Drosophila melanogaster: one gene and its partners. The protein of the gene in region 4 interacts with the protein of the main gene of each other region in a pairwise test. Each region holds a gene or a part of one and is shown on either strand. Other genes may lie near its edges. The genes, in order: Dlip2, CG5011, Elys and Trs33.

Region 1 (5,292 bases), about 11 Mb from region 4:
CCCACAGGACACAGCTTCTCAACAGGAGGAATCCGTCGCGCTGAAGGGCCACTTCTACGGCGTCTATTTGCTATGCAGTCAGAGCTTGGATCCTCGCTACCGGGGAAAATGCTACGTGGGCTTCACCGTGAACCCCAAACGGCGGATACGCCAACACAATCTTGGTTGTGATTTCGGTGGCGCGAGGAAAACCAGTCGCAAAGGGCCGTGGCTGATGGTAATGATCGTGCACGGATTCCCGAATAATACAGTGGCACTCCAGTTTGAATGGGCTTGGCAACAGCCGTCGCTTTCAACTAGGCTTAAAATGTACCCTGAATTAAAACGAAAACTGCCCAGGGAGACGTTCTTTGACTACAACTTTAGGATCCTTAGTAATATGCTGGGGGTTGGCCCTTGGAATAGATTACCGCTCACCGTTCGCTGGCTAGAAACGGATTACGAGAGGCCATTCAGCAAGGCACTGCCTAAACACATGGAAATTGTGAGTGGCAAGGTTTCCATTAGTGCCTCACAACGTAGGAGACCTGATGATGCAGTACCTCCTCCACCTGTGGCGTGGGCTTCCGAGTGCCACCTTTGTATGCAGGAAATGGAGCAACCGGAGAAATCCCGCCTGGGATGCACAAATCAAATGTGTCGGCTGACATGCCATATGGTGTGCCTGGCCAATTACCTTCTGGGCGACGAGCCAGGTCATTACATCCCAGTTGGAGGAGAGTGTCCGCTTTGTGAGACTCGTCTCAGCTGGGCAGCACTGCTGCAGCGCAAACGTCTTCTTTTGGGCGTGCCTGAAGAACTGCAGGATCATGACGAGGATCTGAGCGACGACATTGATGTAGACAGCGATATTGAAGATACCCCGGAGCTCAGCGATTAGTTGAGGACCCATTTCATTTTATTTACAAATGCTAAGGTATCGCATAAGCTAAAAGTATCTAGGCAAACACCATCTTAATGCGCTTGTAAAAGTAAACATTTTAACTAAATACTTTAAAAATATTTCCAATAGATAATACTGAGTATAATTTAGATTTGTTTGCGGTATTTAAGGTTTAAACGAAAGAAATTAAATGCTGAAATTTAAAGTGTAACAAATTAATTAATATTTATCAGTATTTATTCTCCAAGTATAATAAAATAAATTATTAGGTTTGTTTCCCAATTCGTCAGGTGCTTTTAAACTAAGATAACGTTCAGTAAATTGACAGAAGAACAACATGTATTACATTGATAAAGTTAAAGGTCAAGGTGGGAAATATGTTTCTTAATGCTTCTTAAAGCATTTTTATAGTCTTGCAAAAGTTTAGCCATTTTCCGCTTTTCCTGCAAGTAATACTCCATAGACATTTGTACGTACTCCTGTCCCTTGAAGTTGAACACAGACACTTCAGTAGTATCTATATTGTCGGGTTCTGCTCTAACTCGGCCTGCATTCGGATTGGGTTCCATTTTCACAGCTTCCTTTAGAGCAATGACAATGGAAGATTCCTTCGGGCGCTTCTGCGGTGGACTATCGTGGACTGCGTCAACTGAAAATAATGTTAAAGAAGTTAATAAAGCATTAAGATGCAACACCGACATGATGAATCCAACCCGCTCTATTTCGAAGGCCCGGTGGATTTATAGTACTTACTTGTAGTAACTGAGGTAGTGTCCACATTGTTGATGCTGAGCTCATCGTCGCTCAGGTTTATATAGTAGCTCTCATGCGAAGTGGAAGCCACTTGTTGGGGCTCCTCCTCCGGCTTGCTACTGCTTTCCTCGTACGGAAACGGCACTGCCTCGCCGACGAGGAGCGTTCGGTTCTTAGAGGAGGATATGAACTTGCGGTCAAAGTGAAGGGAGCACATAAAAAGCTGGCTATGGGGAATCTTTGGATGCACTTGGCCGTTTTCGTGCCAGATTCTCGCCCTTTGCGGTTGTTTGGGAAAGGCAAACAGGGTTCTTCCTTTGGTCAGCGCGTTTTCGTGGCCTACGTAATAGTATTCACAGTCCTTGTACGCACAAGACCTTGTCGCCATTTTAAATAAATTTAAATAATTACGAATCTTAATAATTAAGTAAACAGTACAAATCGTGTACGAAGCATTCGTTATCGATACATATCGAGGCGTAACGAGGATTTGGATTTTCAACTCGTTTCCACTTTTCTGCGTTTTGAAATATTTTTCTTTGGAGTTTTAATTTTTAACAACACAGGCGAATGTGCAAATAATGAATTGGGATAACGTGTTAACAATGACAATTAATAAAGTTGCAGCAAATATGTACCTGTTTTTCGTTTTTGTTAATTTCAACAAAATTTAATTTAATTCGGAAGTAAAATATATCGCTAAATTGTCACCATCCGAACGTTTTTTTGCAAGTTCTCTCCAAGATCCTGTCAATCTGGCAGGTCTGCCAAGAAACGGGAAAAAATTCTCGTTTTGCCATTTGTCTTTCACGTTGTTTTCGTCTCCAACCCACATGGATTACTTGAAGCTGTGTTTGTGCGCGTCAAGAATGGAATAGACACCATGACCATATCGGATTCGGAACTCGACAGCAGCAAGGGCATCGACCTGACATTCAGGAGGAGAAGGAAGGCAGGTTCCGTCGCCTGCGAAGGATTTATCACCACGTACCATGAATACTGCAGGAACACTTCCATACATGGTGTCCAATATCTTGGCGAGCAGGAGCGCCCCTTCCGCGAGCGCATCTTTTGGCTGTTCGTGTTCCTGATCTCGATCTACGGCTGCTCCACGCTGATTCAAAGTGCCTACACCAAGTGGACCGAAACGGTGCGAGTCCCTAGTAGAACATACCATACATACATATGTATATACGTAGCATCAGTAAAAGCTCTCTGAAACAATAGCATTTAAAGTACAGATCCTTCAAAATTGCGATGTATTATGCGATATATTATGCACCCTAACTGTTATGTTTTATAAATATAAGAACACTACAGGGTCTTCTGTAAAATGAAAAGTGCTCTTGCTGCCTTCAGCCGACAACAAAACTAATATTTTGCGTTTTTTTAAAGCCTGTGATCGTTAGCTTCGCGGAAAAATCGACCCCCGTGTGGAACATCCCGTTTCCGGCGGTCACAGTTTGCTCGGAGACCAAAAGGGTGCTAAAGCAGAAAGGTTTGTTATTCGGGAAGCCTCTAGTTGTACAGACTATGAATATTAACATGTAACCTTTGTCTGACAGGAAAAGAGACCACTTATGCTGATCTTTACAGCCAGTTCAGCGAAGATATGCGAGCTTCGCGGGTGTTTAGGCCCGAAAACGTTAGTGCCCTTGAGATGGAGGAGTTCCGCACCCTGCTGCACGTATGCAACACGCAGATCATTGAAGAGGACATACCCTTGATAGCCGGCGATGACTTGGACTACTTTGATGTTCTGCAGCGGATGCTGCCCCAGTTTGATCGGTACTTCTTTTACTGCCGCTGGCTTAGTCGTTTCGGCGAGTGCGAGACCTTCTTCCGAAAGACTCTTACGGAGGAGGGCATCTGCTATACGTTCAATGGGCTGAGAGCCACTGAGATATACCGGGACGACACCTATCAGTATCAACACAGCGGGGAGCCCCTGGAAATGGAAAATATTAGCTCGCAGCATACGGCCTGGACTCTGGAAACGGGCTATGCACTGGACAGCGATGTGGAGACCTTTCCGGCTCGTGTCTTAAGTGCCGGAGCGCGATCTGGCATTTTCTTGGCCCTCCAAAGCTTTAAGCAGGAGGTGGACTACGCCTGTCGAGGACCTGTGCAGGGATTTAAGGTGGGAAAATTTGAAAACGTAGCTGTTTGCTTTTTCTTGCTCCAATATGTGTCTACAGTAATGCCAATCTACAGGTACTGCTTCATGCGCCCGATGACGTCCCGCAGGTTTCCAAACAGTTTGTGCGCATTCCCATGGGCAAGGAGGTGCTGATCGCAGTGAAGCCCAACATGATCACCATGTCGTCGGGAATAGCAGAGTACCATCCAGTTCGGAGGCAGTGCTTCCTCAGCCACGAGCGGTCGCTGCGTTTTTTTAAGGTGTACACCGAATCAAATTGCCAACTGGAGTGCTTGGCCAACTTCACGCTGACCAAGTGCGGATGCGTTAAGTTCTCGATGCCCAGAAACGTGGACATGCCTGTATGCGGAGAGGACAAGATCCACTGCTACGATCGGGCAGAAAGGGAGTTGTTAGTCAGGGAATTCAAAAGAGTAAAAGCGCTGAACGCTGGCCGAGAAAATTCGCGGAGCGTGGAATCTGCCTGTAACTGCATGCCAGCATGCACATCCCTCGTCTACAACACGGAGATTTCCCAGGCCAACTTTGATTTGGAAGAAATGCTAGTGGCTGAGGGCGACACTGAGTTCCTGAAGGAGTATCCCGGCTCCCAGATGTCCCGCTTGTCCATTTACTTCAAGCAGAGTCAGTTCATCACTTCAAAGCGGTCGGAGCTTTACGGAATGACCGAGTTTCTGGCGAATTGCGGTGGCATTTTCGGTCTATTCATGGGGTTCTCCATCTTGAGTCTTGTGGAAATGATCTACCACTTCACGTTGCGGCTCTTTACCAATCTGAAGCGCCTGGTTAAAGGATAACCCATTAGCACTATTTCGTAAGTGCGAACAATTCTTATGGTTCCAAAAATTGTGGTTTGAACTAGTTATATACATATTTATACTAATGCTTAGTCTAGCAGAAATTTTTCAATATATGCCATACTAGGTAATTTCAAAACATAGCTGACATAAAAACCAAGACGGAGTCAGTCTTCCCGAACATTTTCAACAGTGGCTTCGATGTCATAATGTCATTATATAACTCAGAATCGGCTGAATTTATTGATTCCAATCTGTGTCGAGTCTTCCGCAAGGACATCCTTCAGCTGAATGTCTTAAACTCTTCAAATGCGACCCAATTTTGGATATATATTTCATATATATTATTTATCAGGCCCATATGGACACCATCTTCCACGTTTATGCTATCTTGAAGGTCTATGATGCCCGTTAACTTAGCACATGAATTCAGAGTAATCGATGATTTTCATAGCTCAACCACCTTACTAATGTCTTCAATGTTTTAATCAACATAATCAACATTTAGTACACACCGACAGCGGTGTATTATCTATAGTCTATCTTATAATCTAGAGTCTGTTCAGAATTTCATTGGGGGTCCTTTACTTTCGAATAATTGCCTTGAAACGAATTGTAACAACCTTATAGTGGCCTCACAGCTGCACATTAACAGCAATGCTTCTTCCGAGGTGTTAGGGTCTTAAATGATCGCAAGA
Region 2 (4,489 bases), on a different chromosome or scaffold from region 4:
ACATCCCATCCAGGATCCGCAGCCCACTTTCCTCCGGGGTGCGCTTCCTGCCATTGAAAGCCGATAGCCGACGGAGAGCGAGCCAAGAAAAATTGCATGCGGTTAGGAAAGCGAGCAGCAAAATTAATGTGTCTGCCCCGGCTGAAGTTGCCCCCAGCTCCAGCTCCAGCTCCAGCACTAGCTTCAGCTTTAGCTCCAACTACAGCTCTTGCTTCAGCTGTGGATGCTCCGCAGTCCGGACCGCGTCCATGTCCATGTGCTGCCACCCGAAGAAGCATCCATCCTTAAGCAAATAGACGGACGGAACGTGTCCGTGGCCATATCAAAATGATGTATGTGTGTTAGATTTGTTATAAATTTTATTTGCCGTTTGCTTGATTTTTACCCGGGTCTGTTCCATTAAACAACCCACCCACCCCGATTCGATTGGGATTCGACCGCAGATGCAGTCAATTATTAAACGCCTGAGTGATTGCGGTCACAAACGGGGTGGGTCTATTGCGAAAATCGCATGTATTACACTAGTTATCCAGCCAGAAGGTCATAACCATATCAGCCAACGTGGCGGATGAGTAATATATTCTTTTTAAAAACAAATTTTGTCTATGTGCTCCCATTATTAAGTAGCACTGTTAAAATACTGTTATATTCTAAATAAGTCTTTAAAGTTATATATTATATCATCCCTTTGTACTTTCCCTAAAAATCAACAGTGGCGTACCCCAAAAATCACCTCAACAATCTAAGTTAGGTTCTGACTAATGTAAGCAAATGCGTATTTCCTATCGATAAGATTGCACAGCTTTATCTAGCGTTGAGTTGAAGTAACTCATTGATAAGGTTTACAACAGGTTTATATGCATGATTACTAATAGTTCAGCGTTCAAAATAAAAACAAAAATATTATTCTTGAACAAATGGAATGGAAAAGAGCCAATAAATCAAAGATATGCTCAGTTAAGAATTCATGACATTCGACTAATACGATAAGCCCACGTATTAATAAAGAATCCAGTGATTGATTGACTGATTGATTGATTGTTTTCCTAGTGAAATATTAGTAATGACGTGTTACCTCAAGAATTTGATAGTACCCGAAAATAAGCTATCATAACGCACCTAAAGAATGACGACTTTTTCAATGGATTATCTTTATGACGGTCCTATGGGAATTCCAAAAAACCGTCCTTATCTTATTAGGCGCATATATCATCATACTCGAAATGGGATTGTTTGTTGGCATAGAAGCTACAAGTAATAAAACTTGAATCACACATAGGCGTGACTAACTAAAGTTAGTTTATATATTTAAAAGCAGCATATTTTTTAATCACACACAAATGTACATTTGTTGATATCACACTATATTAACCGATCTAGATTACAGTTCAGTTCTTATCGCGGATGCATTGGAGGTCCTGGGGCCACGTATCCTGGACCATATGGATACGGACCATGCGGCGGCGGAGGATTGTAGCCGGAGCTGTTTCCGTGAGGAGGTTCGTGGTAAATCGGATGCACTGGCGTGTGGAACGGGGGCTGTGGTTCATGGTGCGGAGGTCCATGGTGCGGTGGTCCGTGGGGCGGTGGCCCATGAGGCGGCGGGTTGTGGTGGTGGTGCGGTGGTGGAGGAGGCATCTTTGCTTGGCGGGCTTCTGTTGTACACTAAACTGGCTCACTCCTGCCAGACCTTTTATACAAAAGTAACATAGTTTCAGTAGGCTGTAATCTTATCTGCATTCTAGTGGAGAGGGACTTTCTTTTATATATAATTGTCTACCTTATCTGCTGGCTTTTTGATACTTAATCATACTTAATCAATTCTTGCTTCAATATTCTTCTAATTGCTTATTAGAATCAGTATCTTTATAATGGTGTTATAAAATTAAACAATTTCTAAAATAAAAACATTTTGCTCTTGGTGAAACTAACTAGAAGTTAGTGAAGATATTTTAATGTTAGTTTGTGGCTTAATCACAGTTAACGATTAAGTTTTTCCATATCAGTTTATAACGTTAAATTCGGCTTATATTGTATTATAGTTCTCATCGAGGATGCATTGGAGGACCGTGGTGTGGTGGTCCATGATGATGGTGGTCGTGGTGCGGAGGTCCATGGTGCGGCGGTCCGTGGTGTGGTGGCCCGTGATGCGGTGGCCCGTGGTGTGGAGGACCATGGTGCGGTGGCCCATGGTGGGGAGGTCCATGGTGTGGTGGCCCATGATGATGGTGGTGGTCGTGGTGCGGTGGAGGTGGCATCTTGACTTTTCTGACTTTAGTTGAGTACTAAGCTAAAGCCTATCCTGTCAAACCATTTATAGGAAAATGATTCGAATACGTTGTAATCTTATCTAAATTTCAGATAAGACGAGCCCAGTTCGGTTGATAAGTAAGTTTCGGGTTTTCCCACAACAACACTTCGCTCAATAAAAACAAATGTATGACATTCGAAATTAGTAATAACAAACAAGCGAATTGTTTACTGATATGTCTATATGTGACTTAAAGAATAAGTTAATGACGACTTTGCATGTAGTTCATAAGTACAACAATATGGAGATGTTATAATATTTTATTTTTGTAAGCAACAATCAGCAACAATCAGCAACAAATTCTTAAGCTTAGTACGTTGCACTTAGGACGTGTATTATAATTTAAAAAGCATTTAGATCTTCAAATCATATGTATGCTTTGTTCAAATTAATGGAAGCTTAGAATGCATTAAGCAGTATCACCAATTCAAGATCATAAACATTGAAGATATAGAAAAGAGTAGAGCTATGTATTTTGTACAGGCTTTTATTTCTTTGGTTTGAAGAGTTTTTAAGACTTTCTATTAGAAACTAAGTTCCCTAAAAAGTATCCATCTTGTTTTGTTCTGTATAAAATTGAATCTTATTTATAGTCCTTGTCCATGGGCCTAGTGATGTCCGTGATGGGGCTTCGGATCTCCGTGGTGAGGGGGATGCGGTCCTGGTTGGTGATCCCCAGGATGCGCAGGACCCTTCGGTGGGTGCGGTTGGTGGGGCTGGTGCGGTGGTGGTGGCATGTTTCCAAAGCGATTTCCGTTCTGAACTAAAGTATTACCCCGATTTCCACGCTATATATAGTGACGAAAGACTGCTGGAGGCATTGGTTTTCCCATTAAAACATTTTATCAGCCTGTTTTGCGATAAGGTGAGTACTTGGTGGTCATATCGGAATTTCCCTATGACAACGCAACGAGAAAATCACACATCTAGCTTCCCTGATTTTTCAATCGAACAGGATTTGTATATTCGTATGATCTTTTGAAGTGGGAGGAGTGTGCATTCTTGTATTCAAATTTTTTATTGTATAAAATTTTCTCGTGAACAAATTATGGAAAAGAATCTGTGGAATACGCTGCAGGAAGTCGAGCAAGTCGAGGTTGCTTTTAAGCAGACCTTGAGAAACATTACCGATATCCAGAACCGATACAAAACGGTTTCGGCCTTGAAGAGCAAGGCCTCCAGGCGCCAGGAATCCTTCGAGGCGGAGATCCAAGGTGCCATTACAGCACCCAATCCTGCCAAGAAAAGGAGGGTGGTCAAGAAGAGCAAGATCAATATCTTGAAACAGAGGAGTCTGCTACCAATGCCAGTACCCAATCTCAGATCGGAAACTATCCTGCAGGTGGAGGAGCCTTTTGTGTGTCTCGAAACGAATTGCGTCTACGAAATACACAAGACAACCACTCACCTGATGGCGCGGAAACCATATGGAGCTCTCATCCGGCGACTGTATCGGTCAGCCAGGCGGAAGAGGATGTACGACCAGGAGCAGGAACAGGATCAGGAACAGGTTGAGGAACAGGATCTGTATCCAGACATGGAATGTTACCACTGCTGCTGCTCAGCGTGTTGCATAGAGTGCAGATAAATTTGTTCGTGATTGTATATAGCATATTTTTGGGCTTTCACAAAGCTTCAAAGTTTGTAGCAAGCATTTTATGTGATAATAAATAAATTGTACTTGTCCAAATGAACAGCAACAGCTATTTGCTGGCTAGTAACAATTTCATTGAATTTATTTGAGTTGTACCTCGGGTTTTCCTCGATAATTTTTTCAATAACTAGCCTGAGCATCGATTACCTCTGTCTCTCGACAATAAAAACAGGCAAGGAAGCCAAAACAAAGGAACGTTTGCTTACCTACGAGTCGCACTTTGTATGGGCAACTTAAACGCTAATGGCATAAACATCCGAGACGTGAGCGAAATGTTTAAAACGCGCCTTTTGAAGCGCAGGATGCCAGGACGACGGGACGGAAGCCGAGGTTTAGCGACTGTAATGTGGCCGCCGCCCAAATCAAATCTCAAATCATGCACGTTTCCATCGTGGCCAGCGGGAAAGCCGGGGAAATGCGCCGCGCAGGGGAAAAGCGCCAGGAGCAGAAACCGAAACCAGGATAGCAATCCGATGACGAGCACTGCACTCCCTGCACGGGCGAAATTGTTTGAAAATTCAATT
Region 3 (9,744 bases), on a different chromosome or scaffold from region 4:
GTGTTGGGTGGATGCTATCAATTCCACATTAACTTCAATTTATTTAAACACTCAAACTAATGCCAAACTAAAATTAAAAATATTAAACGTAAGCAAAGTAAAAAATAAAAATACAGTGCCTTCCGAGCCGATTCTGAGTCTGCTGATCCGGTGATCCGGGTGCATAACTAATGCTCCGACTTGGAGGTGCGACGCAAGCGCGGACGTAGCTCCCGGTTCTGCGTGCTGGCGGCAGAGTTGGACTTAGAGCCGGTCCTAGAACTGGAGGCTTCCGAGCGAAGGTCACCTGTGCCATTCGCAGACTGATCGCTCAGTTCCGAGATGCGTCGCCTAGCGGTGCGACGGAGACGCGGCTGCTCCTCCTCTGGTGCAGTTGAATCGGGTACATCTATGGGAGCATCGATCGGAGTCGGAGAGACGGCGACTGGTGACTGGACGCCTGAGCTCGTCTTGCGCGATCTGACCCCCGCACGAGCAGTCTTCGGTTTGCGCACCAACTGCGCACTCAACGCAGCGGGCGGTTCGCTGTGGCCGCGCAATGATCGCCGGACAGAGGGACTCGCCGTCGGCGGTGCCTGCGAGGTGGCCCTCTTGCCGCGTGCCTTGGTCATTGTGGGCGTGCCGGGTCTGGAGCTCGTTGCCTCCGAGTCCACGCTGAGGCGCGTTCGCGAGCGGGTGCGCGGTAACGAAAGGTCCGAGGGACTATGCTCGTCGATCACCTCCAGCAGATATTTGTGCTGCAACCCACGACGCTTGGGAGTCGAGACTGGTGGATTGGATGCGGGCGATAAAGTTGGGGCGTCGGTGCTGCGCAAAGACATCGTGCGACCAGCGACTGGAGTCGGACTATCGCGATGCTCCTGGGAGACGCGACGAGGTCGCAGAGTTCGCGGACTGTCCTGGTGCTCCGTGAAGCTGCGACGCGGTCGCAATGTATGAATCGCCCGTGTTGGCACATCTTGCTCCTCCTCATCCTCATCACCGGAGAAAATCAGCTTCAGGCTGTGTCTTGAATCCTCCTCTTCGGGCAATAGTGGTTCTGGATTATGTTGGGTTTCCTCCTCGGAAGCTTCCTTGCTCTCCGTCTTGTCTCCTTCTTTGGGCTGCTCATCCGCCACATGTTCGACCTTCACAACGACCTGCTCTTCGGCTTCTGCGTCGACATCCTCTTCTGGAATTTCCCCAAGACCACTAGACTGCGTTGCTTGCCCTGCTGGCAAGGGTTCCAACTCCGGCACCTCCAGCACCTCCAGCACGTTCGGCACCTCATCCACCGCCATCTCGATATCCACATCGGAAAGTACTGGCAAGGGTTCCATCTCCGGCACCTCCAGCACCTCCAGCACGTCCGGCACCGCATCCACTTCCATCCCGATATCCATATCGGCACGTGGCTGCTTTTGCTCGCTAAACTCAACTGTGGCCACTGACTCGTTGCTCGGGGTCTCCTCCTCCATTGGCCAATCCTTTCGCTGCTCCGGCTGAGTATCCTTTTCCTTCGCCGTCTCCTCATCGCTATCTAGGACAATGGTGTCGGCCACATCCGAGTCGCTGTTGACCGTGGCGCCCAGCGAAAGGAATGGACTGGGGACACCAGCCGCCTCCTCCTGACATTCGTCCTTGAAGGCGAACAGCTCCGCACTGCTGGAGGCCGCCGATTGCTGGGGTCGGGCGACATAGCCGCGCACTTCTGTTCCATCCAGCGCTATGACGCAATCATCATCGTCGTACTCCTCCTCTTCCTCCAGCGAGCCCTTGGTGGTGTCCAGGTCGTCAACCGTTTCCAGACTATTGGCGCGGTACAATGAGATCGGCGTGCCATCTCCATCCTCGCCATGAGGTGCCTGCGGACTAGATGTCTGTGATACGTTCGTGTCGCTGGGCAGGAATGAGGTGGGCGTGTGCGTAACCGATCGGGATGTGGTTATGGAGCCCGGCGACTCAACAACGATGGAGTACATTGGGTCATCGGTGTGCAGTGTTGGCAGCATGGGATTCCGAATGCCGGCCGAGGACACGTTCGAGTCTTCGCTACTGAGGCTGTAGATGGGCGAGGAGAGGGGCTCCTGGGCCGTTCCTTCTGAGTTGCTTAGGAACGCCAGCTGACCACCGGTCGCCAAAGGCTCCTGCGCCTGATCCTCATCCTGATCCTGCTCTTGCTCCGGCTTCTGCTCGTCCTGTGGATTCTGTTGCTCCTCAAGCGATTTTGTGTCACCCAGCTTCAGTTCCTCTTCGTTCTCCACATCCTGAGTATCTTGCTGCTCAAGTGACGCCACATCGTAAGTGGACATTCCCAGCGTGGTGTCCATCATCTGGTGGTGCCCCTGTATAGCCGGCCTTGCTGATGGCAGAGACCACTGTGCGCTGGGTGCGGCCGTCAATTCTGCACCAAGATCGGTGGATTCCATTTCGCCACAGATGGTAGTGCGCTCGGAAATCTTAATCCCACAGCTGCCGCTGGAGAAGACCTGTGACTGCGTCTCGCCCATCTTGGACGAGCAGACGGTGGGCACAAACTGGGAATGTGATGACGTCTGAGCCGGCTGGACAGTGCTGAAGCTACCGAATCCACTACTACTCTCGCTCCCTGTTGCAGTACCAATCTTGCTACCGCTTCCATTTCCCCCATGTAGCAATGAGTTTCGGGGCTGTGGTCCTGCTGGTGGGGCGAAATAATGAGGAGAATTCCGCGATGGTACCGGATCCACCAAAGACACATTGGCCGATACTAAAGGCGAGAGGAACTCATCCTCCTCGTCGGACTCATAGCTGCAGGCGCTCCTTGGTTCGCTTCTTGACTCGATCTCCACAATGATCTCGTCAGTTTCCTCCTCACCCTCAGCCGCACCTTCGCTGCCCATCTCCGTCGATTTATCAGATTTATCAGTTCGCAGAGGAATGGGCGGCACAAAGCGAAATCTTTTTGGCCCCGCCAGCGCTGTGAATGTAGCCACCGGCGGAGCTCTCTTAACGGCATCCACGGCCCCGCTTCCCTTCAGGATCGGTGGAATCGGCTGTGGCGAACTGCTGCTCTGGCGTATCGTCGTCGACTGTCGCGCCTGGAGGAAATTTGGCGGCTGCAATAGATTGGTCGCCTCGTTTTGCTTGACCTCTTCCTGCTCCATTTGGTTCGAACTTTTTTCTCGAATGGATCTCACATAGTCTTTAACATCCTCCACCATTCGTTCAACCATCAGACAAGGACGCTTATTGGGACGCTCCGTGCCTAGCTGCCTCTGGTCCTGTAGATTGGTACGCTGATCCTCTAGCTCCCGCTGTCGTTTCTCCACCACCTGGTGTGGTACCGGCTTTACTATGCGCCGAGGAAGTGGAAGCTCCGAATGTCCGTATTGCGCGTGCCGCAGGAATGGCACATTGGTGTAGCCTATTTTTGATTGGATCGAAACGGGAGTCATCTTTGGAGGGGACTCGCATTGCGTTGCCCAGTGGGCACTGACGGCAGAACTCTGAAAGATGCCGCCCAATTGGCCGCTGGCGTTCTGTTTGACCAGCTGGCAGCTGAATGGCTCCAAGGGACCGGTCTTTTGGTAGGGCTCCAAGGTGTCTCTGATGCGAAGATACGTGCCGGCGATGTTCTGTGTAACTGGTCCCATTGTAGCGCTGTATGCTGGGAGTATTGTATTGGATGATTCATCTCGCTCCCGCTCGGCGGCCACCTCATCCATAAAGGACACGGCCTCGATGAACTTGCTCTTTTGAAGCAGCATTATCAATTGCACGCAATCCGTCTGACGCGATCTGCACTGGCGCAGTAGACTGTACAACAGCCGTTCCTCTGGCTCTCGCAGGTACAGCTCGGCCAAAACTTTGAAGCGTCTGATTTCAATGCAGTGGCGGAAGAAGCGCTCCAGCAGCGGCTGTCCATCCTCGTCGTCGTCGAGGCGAGCGATTTGGAATGCTTCCGTTATGTTTTCGTTGGCTAGGAGCACTTTCATGTGCAGCGCCGAGGACAATGGACCGGGTGGTCGACTGACCACCTTCTTGGCTGCCTTGACGGCACCTTCAGCCAGCAGTTTATCTATTAACAGCCGCATCTGCCACGATTTCAAGTTCTTAGCGGGGGCAGGCTCCTTGTATAGCTCCTCTACGCCTCGCTGTAATCAAATACATCACAAAACGAATGAATATAACACTTTCGCTTATATTAACCGATCCGAACTCACCTCGTAATCGCCGTGGTCCAAGTACCAGAAGCAGCGCAATGACGTGGCCAGATCTTTGTCCAGCTGAAAGGCAATCTGAAAGCGCCCGACCAGCTGTTGGTTCAGGTCCATCAGCAGGTAGAGGATAAGAGCATGTTTGTGACAGAGTTCTATGTCGGGACTGAGCATCAAGTGTATATACGCATGCAGCGAGTCCGGCGGATAGGGTTCCGGAAAGGAGGCGCGTTTTCCCAGAGAATCAATGTAGAGGATCTTTCCCTGCGCTCGTTTTTCCGAGTACTCGTGTTGCAGGCGAACGAAGGCCTGCTCGCCGGGTACCAGATTATCCATGTGCTGACCCTCCGGCAGGAGGCCGTGATCGATAAACCAAAGCAGCACTCTTTGGTACTCGAGAACCGTTTTCAGCGCCCTCTCGTTGGCACGGCAATCGTCCAAAATTGAGGAGGTTAGCCTGCGCCGTCCCTGCTCGACAATGTAGGACTGCAATCGTACCAATTCACGCAGCTGACCGGATAGCACTTGAAACTCGCGCCGTTCCCGCTGGTCCAGTGGATAGCCGCCGTAATCAAAGATGCCATGGCAAAGTTCCGAGCACCTCGTCTTGATCTGTCCGGCGCGCTTCAAGATCCAGTTGGTCAGCGTGGACAAGGAGAGTTGCGTGTTATCAATCATGTTGCACAAGAAGCTGCCATCCATCCAACTCCGTGCGCAGTCGTTAAGCAAAGCTCCGCAGTTGTGCTCCAGGGCCACCGACAGTATCAACTCGTACATGGCAATCTAGAGAGCAAGATAATGCAATGTTACTTTAAAACGAGTATAACGAGCATGATTCATTTCCCCAAAGACTGTGGTACTATATGATACCAGAAGATTTCCGGATAACTGATAATAATAACCTAGTGTGTAGCTCACCTTAGAGAATGTGGCGTTAGGGTTAAGCTCACAAAATTGTGGCAGGAGACGCAGGCGAACGATGTCCTCGTGGTAGATCTGAGGACGCAAAAAGAGCGTGGCACGATCACAGCGAAGTGCGTTCAGAAACCGATGCTGCACTCCGTCCTGGGCGTAGTACCGTTTGCCAGTTGGAGTTAACAGTGAGCAATCTGGAAATAGACGGTATTACTTGGCTATTAATCTTACTGGCGCTGGCTTCAATCACCGCTGTCACTTACCAAAGGTTAGTGAGTTGGGATAAAAGTGCTCATCGTAGCGCTGCAGTGAGACAAAGTGCAATATGGTGGTGGAACGCAAATCCAATGCCAGTCCCGTCTGTAGACCACTGAGTATGTAGCCGGACATGTAATTAGGAACTTCGTTTTTGTGAACGGATGTGGGCATCTCATCCTTGTACCACTGATTAATGTCGAACAGGACTAGCTTGTTCTTTTTATCTGCACTTGAGTGCCACGAGATGACAATCAGCAGCGTTCCGTTGTCGCCGGCAAAACTGAAAGTAGACGCCGTGGCGCAGCCGATCACGGAGCAGATGCCTCCGTCCAAGATTTGGCGGTTGCGCACGGTTCTAGAACGGTAGTCCTGCGAAGCAAGAAGTCAATATTGGTCTGTGCGTGACGGCTCAAGATTTCTCACCTTAAAACGGATCGTGTGGGTTTCCCGGTCCCGGTACGAGCCCCTGTAGCAGACCGAGTGCAGCATCATTTGCAGGACGTCGATATTTTGGTACAATGCACAGATGTAGAAACAGGGTTTGGGGTCATCCGGTGGCATAATGAGGCACATTCGCTTCACTGCTCTATTGACCCCTTTCCTTTTTACTGGCGAATTCAGATCAGTGGTCACGTCGAAGTTGATTAGGTCGTAGATCAGGATTCGGCCGTCTTCTAGACCAGCAGCATAGCCGGGCGCCATGCTAATGCCCATAAGGCAACTGATTCCAATGGATGCCACTGTTGGTAAATTGAAGGTTAACCTAGCTACCATGGCACACTGGCAGTGACAGACTCACCGTCCATCCGCACAGCCAAGTGAGCCCCTTTGGAGCGACAATGGGTCAGCTTGGAGCTGAGTTGCCTCTTGGACTCCTCGGAGGATACAAAGTATAGGTTCCCGTCCGACGGCTCATCTTTGGAACTGGGGGAGCAAAGGCTGCGCCTTTGGGTACTCGCCTGCAGGCTGTCGCTGTTCAGATCAACCAACAGCACAGTGCCTTCCTCGGTGGCCACGGCCAGACAGCCTTTAAACCGTCTCAGTCGCGTGAGTCCATAGATTCTTTTATCGAGGAACGTCAGCGCGCTGCACGTTATACCGTGAAGGTCGAAGCGGCGGAGCACCTGACTGTTGCGAATGGCATAGATGAGCACCTGCGTGCTCAACGGGCAGTCGATGGGTCTCTGATCGCCGCTGTTCCATGACTCCAGGCAGATGGCTAGCATAGCGGGGCGTTCGTGTTCGCCGGGGAAGAGCTCCTCCACGCAGCGAATGCTTTTGCGCGGCCCCAGATCATCGGATTCGCTCCAGAAGCAGTGCCAAGAAAGGTAATCGCCGGTGGACATGCTGCAGACCAGCAAAGTGGCATCGCTTCCATACCGCCAGGTCACCCAGCCCCATTGCCCGTCGCGTATGATGCCGCCCAGGTATTCGGCTGTAAAGGGATAGCGGAGATTCTTGGTGAATCGGTTTCGGCACACGCCGTATTTTGTGCACACTTACCGGCGTCCAAATGTGCCGACGGCTCCCGGCCAAATCCGGGTACTATGCGCTCCGGGAACGCAATCGTGCGGCTACCGTCCAACTCCACTTCGTGCCACTCCATCTCTATTTCATCAATGCCGGCCGCTTGCAAATAAAAATAAAATTATAAATACAGCGCTCTTGCACCGATTGATCGGCGTGTATGTTTTGTGTGTGCGTGAGTGTGTGAGTGCCTGAGCGGCCTGGCGTTGCCGCCTCGATTTGGCATACAAAAAAACCGTTGTTTTGCTTGTCGTGTATGCACGCTGAGTGGCCCAGTGCTGGCTAACGTCCGACAGAGATTCGCAAATTTAGCGATGGCAAGGACTTGAGTTACTAGTTACCATATATTTCTGTACATTTTCAATTTTTTCTATATACATGCTTAAACAAGTTTGTAACTGAGAGGCAAGCCAATCATTTGAAGAAAAGACTAGAAGCCGGCACTTGCAGCCTGGCAACTTCAACACCAGCAGACTGGCAACGCTGCAGAATTGCGAAAATATTGCGCGAATTTCATAAGGAACTCAACCGGCTGGCTTTGCATTTGAAGTCCGAATGAACACAGATAGTAGCAACCTTGAAGCGTAATGCCTTGTATCACTCAATTCAGGCATATATAGCTCCGAGTCAAGCTCTTAGTACATACAATAGCAACAATACTATCTGGCAACTTTCGTGCGCCGCTTGTCAACCCTGTCCCGTGCGATTTGCTGCACATTGTTCTAAAACAACCCAGCCGGAAAAGCGGTTTCAGTAGTGGTCTACTTCTATATGCGACTCAAATGTGAGAGACCTGACCAGAGGCTGTGTTCCAGGCAATAGGCGCTACCCAGGGCGATCATCGGTGCCCACAGGCAATCCCAACCAGAACACCAACACACCACAATCCCAGCTCACGCATTCCGCATTTCGCACACGGAACAGACCACACAACACACAGCACATAGCACATAGCACACACGCACACAGGTAGCGGCAGCTCTTTTAATCTTCCAAAACGTTGTCTGGCTCGCTGGCTGGTTGGCTGGCTCCACAAAAGCATTGGTCACAGACAACGCACGAGGGGATCGCGGCGGAGATCGAGAGGCTAGGCGAGATTTGGGTTTCGAGCGGTGGGCAGGGGCAAGCAGAGGTAAGTGGAGCACATGGCGCCCGTTGCAGGAAGAAGCCGCACCCAGGAAATTTGTTTCAATTCCAATCTAACGCAATACCCACAGGTAGACGCTAGCTAGCGATGTCCCAGCACGGAGGCACCGAGGCTCTGGCCGCCGAACTGGCCTCGGCCATCGATCTAGTCATGAACCCGATGACACAGCAACAGGCGCGCCTGGAGGCCTACATGGCCTGTGAGCGGTTTAAGGAGGAGTCGCCAATGTGCGCCCAGGTGGGCCTATTCCTGGCCAGCTCGCCGCAGTCTAACCAGCAAGTGCGACACTTTGGCCTGCAGCTGATCGAGTACACAATCAAGTACCGATGGAATTGCATTACGCACGAGGAGAAGGTGTACATTAAGGACAATGCCATCAAGATGCTGAACGTGGGCGTGGGCCCGGCGGAGGACCGCTCGCTGCTGCCCACGAAGGACGCGCTGTCGCGCATCATCGTCGAGATGATCAAGCGCGAGTGGCCGCAGCAGTGGTCCGACCTGCTGCCGGAGCTAAGCCAGGCCTGCACCAAGGGCGAGGCCCAAACGGAGCTGGTGCTTCTGGTCTTCTTGCGACTGGTGGAGGACGTGGCCCTATTACAGACAATCGAGTCGAATCAGCGGCGAAAGGACATGTACCAGGCGCTAAACAACAACATGAACGACATCTTCGAGTTCTTCCTGCGCCTGGTGGAGCAGCATGTGACTGCGTTCCGCGAGACAACGCGTCTGTGCAACTACACCAAGGCGAACGCGCACAGCCGTGTCGTCGAGATGGTACTGCTCACGCTGAGCGGCTTCGTCGAGTGGGTCAGCATCCAGCACATCATGTCCAGCAATGGCAAACTGATGCACTTCCTCTGCATCCTGCTCAACGACAAAGCATTCCAATGCAATGCGGCCGAGTGCCTGGCGCAGATCACGAACCGCAAGGGCCAGACCAAGGAGCGAAAGCCGTTGCTTCAGCTGTTCAACGAGGAGCCGCTGCGCTACATCTACCAGGCCAGTCAGATACCGGCCGACACAAGTTCCACACTGGCCGTCGAGCAGCACCTCAACTTCCTTAAGAAGTTGCTGCAAGTGCTGAACGGCATGGCGCAGCAACTGGTGGCGCTTTGGGGCAAGGACGACGCCACGCAACGACCAGTGCACCTGGAAGTCCTTCTCGAATGCCTATTGCTGCTCGTCCAGCATCCATCGCTGGGCCTCTCGCATGGGTCGGCGCTCATTTGGCAGCTGCTGCTTAAGCATGAGCCCTCCTCCAAAGACTTCGCCATGGTCAACTACATTCCCAAGCTCATCCACACGATTGCGCCCAGGATCGTGAAGCTGCCATATCCTGCCTCCGCTAGCTCGCCTGCCAGCCTCTCCACGGAGGCATATATTCGACTAGAACACGATAGTGAAGAGGAGTACGCGCTCTACTTTTTCCGCTGCCGGACCGACTTCCTTGAGATTTTCCGCCTGGCCACCCTGGTGCAGCCGTTGGTCACGTATGGCTACTGCGAACAGTGGCTGCAGCAACGACTGCGAAACGCGCAGATTGAAGCGGACGCGGAGGTCAAGAGCGGCAACGTGTCGTGCAGCGTTCTGGATCCAGTATACCTGGAATGGGATGCGCTGGTCAGTGTGTTGGACGGCGTGCTAAGCCGCATTCTCCTCGTGGCGGAACGCCCATCTGTGCCGGCAGGACTGCGACTCTTGGAAGAATGCCTCAAACTG
Region 4 (4,621 bases):
AACAAGGCCAATTTGAACCAGCATCTGCGGAAACACGACAAGAACAATATTCGGCACATGTGTAAAGTGTGCCAGAAGTCCTTTCTGCGACAAACCACGCTTCGGCTGCACATGAAGCGCCACTCAAATCGCGAACGTCAGTCCTGTTCCCTGTGCGGCAAAAGCTACAATGATCCGGATGCTCTGGGCCGACATTTAAGACAACACAAGACTGCCGAACGCTACCGCTGTATCCAATGTGACATCACTATCAACCGAAAGGACAACATGCTGCGACATCTGCGATCCATGCACCCTGGTTGTGCGTTTGCCAGTACTGTTGAAATGGTTACACCGAGGTCCAGTGCTCAGGAGGCCACGACGGCGGAAGAAAGACCATCTCAGACTGTAAGATACAACAGTGTGATCCAGAGTGTGGGCAACGTTGAGCCAGTGATGTTGCTGCAATCTACGCCACTGCCATCTCAACTCCCTGAACTGCAGATGGAGAAAGGGAAAGCTGTCCCAGAGCATCTGCCTCTGCCAGATGTAATGCCAGAGGAGAATGTCCAGCTGTATCGCAAGATCATCTTGGATCTGGACAACGAGGAATACTCTAGCGAACCTAGCCCCGATGCCCAAGAACCAGCCATGCAACATCACCAGCCGCGTGTCCCGGGGCAAGGTAGCTCCAAATTTAGCGAGATGCACTGGCGCAAGAATTTCAAATATTGGTACCAAAAAGAAGAAAACACAAAGTGACGATATGATCTCTAATGAGTTGGCCCTTTTTCAAAGGGGTCCTCTAATTTATTAGAGATCAGTCAGGTGCTGCGAACCGAAGCGAACCGCAGCAATCTTGTTGGCCGCTAGCCATATTTCCGCGTGCCGGCGTCACTGCCAAGTTCACCGGCCATCGGAAGCAGCAAGACCGCTTAATTTGCAACTAACAGTATTCAATATGATGGACGAGCAATCGGAACTCGAGACACTGCGTGAAATTTATTACCTAACTGATGATGCGTCGTGCAACTGGCGCAAGTTGCTTGTCCTGGGCGACTGCCTGGACCAACAGCTCAAGCGCAAGCTGCTCTGGATGTGGCCGACATCGGTGGACTTGGACTACTTTAATCAGCTGCTAGCCATGCACGACATCCAGCGAGTTTTGAGCATCGGCTGCGGCAGTGGGCTTTTGGAATGGCTTATGACAGTGTCTGGAGGTCGGAAAGTCCCCATGTTTGGCTTGGAGGTCGATCGCAACTGGTGGCAGAGCAAGTACTCCGTTCGAAGTTTTATACCGCTTAACTATTTAGAGGATGCCAGCCAACTGGATACGGATTTATTGACCAAATGCTGCAGTGACGTTCATCCGTGTGCCTTGCTCTTCTGCTACTTCAACAATCGAGGAGCTTTTCTGGACTATCTAAATGTGTATCAAGGAAAGTGGCTTATATTGATTGGACCATTGCCCGCCCTGGGAATCCACACAGATCCCAATCCCGCCCAGCCCCAACTGCCCATCGACCAGTGGATCCTGCGAGAACGCCTTAACTGGACTGACCACAACATTGTGGCATTCTACGAAAAGATAGCCTAGTCTAGTCTGTAGTATCTCTATAATTGTAGTAATAAACCATTGCCTTACATCCTAATTAGTTCCTGTTCACTTCTATGTGAAACTTGCAGGCGGGTATGCTTTGCACTTCGGCCGTCACGGTGCTGTTAATGCCTAGATTGCTGAGAGCTCCTCGCACCAGCCCGCACGTGAAGGCCACGAACTTGGGCGCGTGCTCCAGCTGCTTGGTGCCCGGCGAGATGCGAGTCAGAAAGCGGAAAGCCTTGTCCTGCACAACGTACATTCCGTGGTTGTTCGTCCTCAGGTTGTCCACTTGCTTCTTGTATATAAGCATCCAGAAGTCGGTGCATATAAACTTCATAGTCTCCAACTCGTCCTTAAAACGCGAAACTTCACGGGTGAGCCGCTCAATCAGGCGGTAGCCGGTGGTGAAGCCTATATACTCCAAAGTGGCCAGGTCGTGCTCCTAATAGGCGGAACCAAATCAAAATCGGTTGTATGACTGATTTTTTTTTGCGTCCCTCGTGTTCCTACCTTATTGCTATCCAGACAATAATTGACTATCTCTGCATGGAGGCAATCGAAAAGGATTTCTTCAGACATTTTCGAGGATTTAATTTTTCTTTGTGAGTTCAACAAATTTTTCCTCGGATTTGTTTTGATCTAGATTTAAACAGCTGTTGCAAGCGTTAACGGGCGAATGTCTTGTTTGCTTTTAGTGGTTTATTGTTATTACTATTATTTATACTTTAATATCAAGAGTATGTATAATTATTTTAATATGAATACTCTAAAATGAGCAGATTTGATAGATCTATTTAGCGTAATTTCAAATCATTTTATAACCATATATTTTTCGATGCATATATTTAGCTAAGCTGCACACATTTCTATCGCTGATCTGGCATCACTATTCAGTGAGGGGGTGTTTGGACAAAAACACAACAAAAAATGTATACAAAACAATTCCGATTAAAATTCGCAGAATAAGTGAATTAAACTTGAACAATTGACAATTAGTAAATAATCCAGTATGCTAGACCTCGTTCACAAAGCCACGCTGCATAGCATGGTCTGTCAGGCAATCCTAGTGTTAATCTGTTTGCTATGCTACGGATGCGGTGGCCTCAGTGGAGCGAAGTTTGTCTTCGATGATACGGTGGCCATCGTCAAGAACCGGGATGTCAACTCACTGCCCACCAACTGGACGGCGATCTTCACGCACGACTTCTGGGGTGCTTCCTTGCTCAGTTCCGATTCCCACAAATCATTTCGGCCACTGACCACCCTGATGTTCCATTGCGAGTATGCCCTTCTGGGGCTAAGTGCCGCCCACATGAAGTTCCTAAACCTCCTGCTACACTGCGTCAACACGCTGCTCATGTGGCGATTGATTCGCTCTCTCTATGTTCCGGAGGTCAGCACGGCAAGATGGGCCATCCTCTCCGCTGCTCTATTTGCCGCCCATCCAATTCACACAGAGGCGGTTTCTGGTGTGGTTGGAAGGGCCGAGCTCATGTTCGGCATGATTCACTTGTTGTGTCTTCTGCTGACCGTGGCCAATACCGGAAGACTTGGTCCACAGACTGGCGGTCTAATCATGCTGCTCACCGCTGTGGGAATGCTGTTCAAGGAGTCCGCTGTGACCATCCCCATGTCGTGTGTACTATTGGATTACTTTCAAAACGGCTACTATCATCTGCGATTCAAGGATCAGTGGAGTCTTTTGCGCACCCGGATCAGCTACTTGTTCTACTTGCTGGGTACCTTGGGTCTGCTGACGGCTCGCCTTTGGTGGCAGGACTTTGAGACGCCTACCTTCAAGGAAGTTGACAACCCCGTTGCGCACAATGAGCACGTGCTGACCCGTGGGCTCTCCCAGCAGTATCTGCTGGTCATGAACATCTGGCTGATGCTGTGCCCCCACTGGCTATGCTACGACTGGGCATTGGGTTGCGTCAAGTTGGTGACCAACATCTGGGATCTGAGACTGCAGGGCGTCATCGGATTCTACTCCATCGTATTGGTGGCTCTGATGAACTTCCGACGGCTGCCCGGAATGATGTTAGCTCTGGGTTTAATGATCGTCCCGTTCCTGCCCGCGTCGGGAATCATTTGCGTAGGATTCGTGATTGCCGAACGGACGCTCTATGTACCCTCCATTGGCTTTTGCCTGCTGTCCATCTATGGATTCTTATATTGGTATGACAGCAGTACGGAAAACACCCACTGGCGCACTGCTCTACGGATTCTTTTAATGCTGCTCTTTTCGGTTATGATGGTACGGACTCGGCAGCGAGCTACTGACTGGCTTAACGAGGAGCAGTTGTTCAAGTCCGCGCTACAGGTGTGTCCTGACAATGCCAAGGTACACTATAACATAGCCCGACTGGCCACTGATATGGGAAACAATACGAAAGCCTTTCAGCACTACCACAGGGCCATTGAATTGTATCCGAACTATGAGTCAGCTCTTATGAACCTCGGCAACCTGTATCGGGAGCACGGTCAACTATCCACCGCCGAGGAATACATTCGATTGGCTTTGCAGGCGTATCCCGCATTTCCAGCGGCTTGGATGAATCTCGGCATTGTGCAGTCGGCTCAGGGAAAGTACGACAAGGCTCTGGCCAGCTATGAGAAGGCCCTGAAGTACAGAGCCAATTTCGCCGTCTGCTACTACAACATGGGCAATCTGTATCTGGAGCAGAAACGTTACGCCGAAGCGCTTCATCATTGGCAGCATGCTGTGGCACTAAATCCCCGCCAGCCAAAAGCCTGGGCTAACATTCTGACAATGCTGGACAACAAGGGGTTGCAGGATGACGCCTTGCGCATCTCTAATCAGGCTCTCCAACATCTACCCAACGATGTCAGTATCCTTTTCATTCGAGCAAACGTGCTTGGCAAATTAAAACATTATACGGAGGCGGAGGCGATCTACAAGCGCGTTATTGAGCTGGAGCCCCACAACACATTGTACCACACGAATCTCGGAGTTCTCTATCATCGCTGGGACAAGACGCAGGAGGCTATAGAGGCTTATCGGACTGCAATAAGTATTAG

What was found.
Region 1: the proteins of Trs33 (region 4) and Dlip2 interact in a two-hybrid assay, tested with the Drosophila melanogaster proteins (one large-scale study listed by BioGRID).
Region 2: the proteins of Trs33 (region 4) and CG5011 interact in a two-hybrid assay, tested with the Drosophila melanogaster proteins (one large-scale study listed by BioGRID).
Region 3: the proteins of Trs33 (region 4) and Elys interact in a two-hybrid assay, tested with the Drosophila melanogaster proteins (one large-scale study listed by BioGRID).

Annotation. Positions count from the first base shown.
Region 1 is NT_033777.3:4,643,545-4,648,836, forward strand, and holds Dlip2 (dorsal interacting protein 2), read right to left. Parts: upstream 2,112-5,292; 5' UTR 2,025-2,111; coding exon 1,637-2,024; intron 1,533-1,636; coding exon 1,240-1,532; 3' UTR 1,105-1,239; downstream 1-1,104. Other genes in the region: nuclease slx1, read left to right, coding at 1-880; rpk (ripped pocket), read left to right, coding at 2,520-2,786, 3,032-3,134, 3,202-3,794, 3,851-4,594.
Region 2 is NT_033779.5:1,198,009-1,202,497, reverse strand, and holds CG5011 (uncharacterized protein), read right to left. Parts: upstream 1,828-4,489; 5' UTR 1,639-1,827; coding exon 1,396-1,638; 3' UTR 1,278-1,395; downstream 1-1,277. Other genes in the region: CG43349 (uncharacterized protein), read right to left, coding at 2,046-2,258; CG43348 (uncharacterized protein), read right to left, coding at 2,920-3,048; CG5139 (uncharacterized protein), read left to right, coding at 3,360-3,899.
Region 3 is NC_004354.4:19,649,669-19,659,412, reverse strand, and holds Elys (elys), read right to left. Parts: upstream 7,109-9,744; 5' UTR 6,958-7,108; coding exon 6,855-6,957; intron 6,787-6,854; coding exon 6,151-6,786; intron 6,092-6,150; coding exon 5,775-6,091; intron 5,721-5,774; coding exon 5,357-5,720; intron 5,288-5,356; coding exon 5,097-5,287; intron 4,962-5,096; coding exon 4,185-4,961; intron 4,116-4,184; coding exon 168-4,115; 3' UTR 6-167; downstream 1-5. Other genes in the region: Ranbp21, read left to right, coding at 8,113-9,744.
Region 4 is NT_033777.3:15,348,763-15,353,383, forward strand, and holds Trs33 (TRAPP subunit 33), read right to left. Parts: upstream 2,234-4,621; 5' UTR 2,159-2,233; coding exon 2,090-2,158; intron 2,022-2,089; coding exon 1,632-2,021; 3' UTR 1,583-1,631; downstream 1-1,582. Other genes in the region: CG42726 (uncharacterized protein), read left to right, coding at 1-741; CG42727 (uncharacterized protein), read left to right, coding at 941-1,576; Tmtc4 (transmembrane O-mannosyltransferase targeting cadherins 4), read left to right, coding at 2,589-4,621.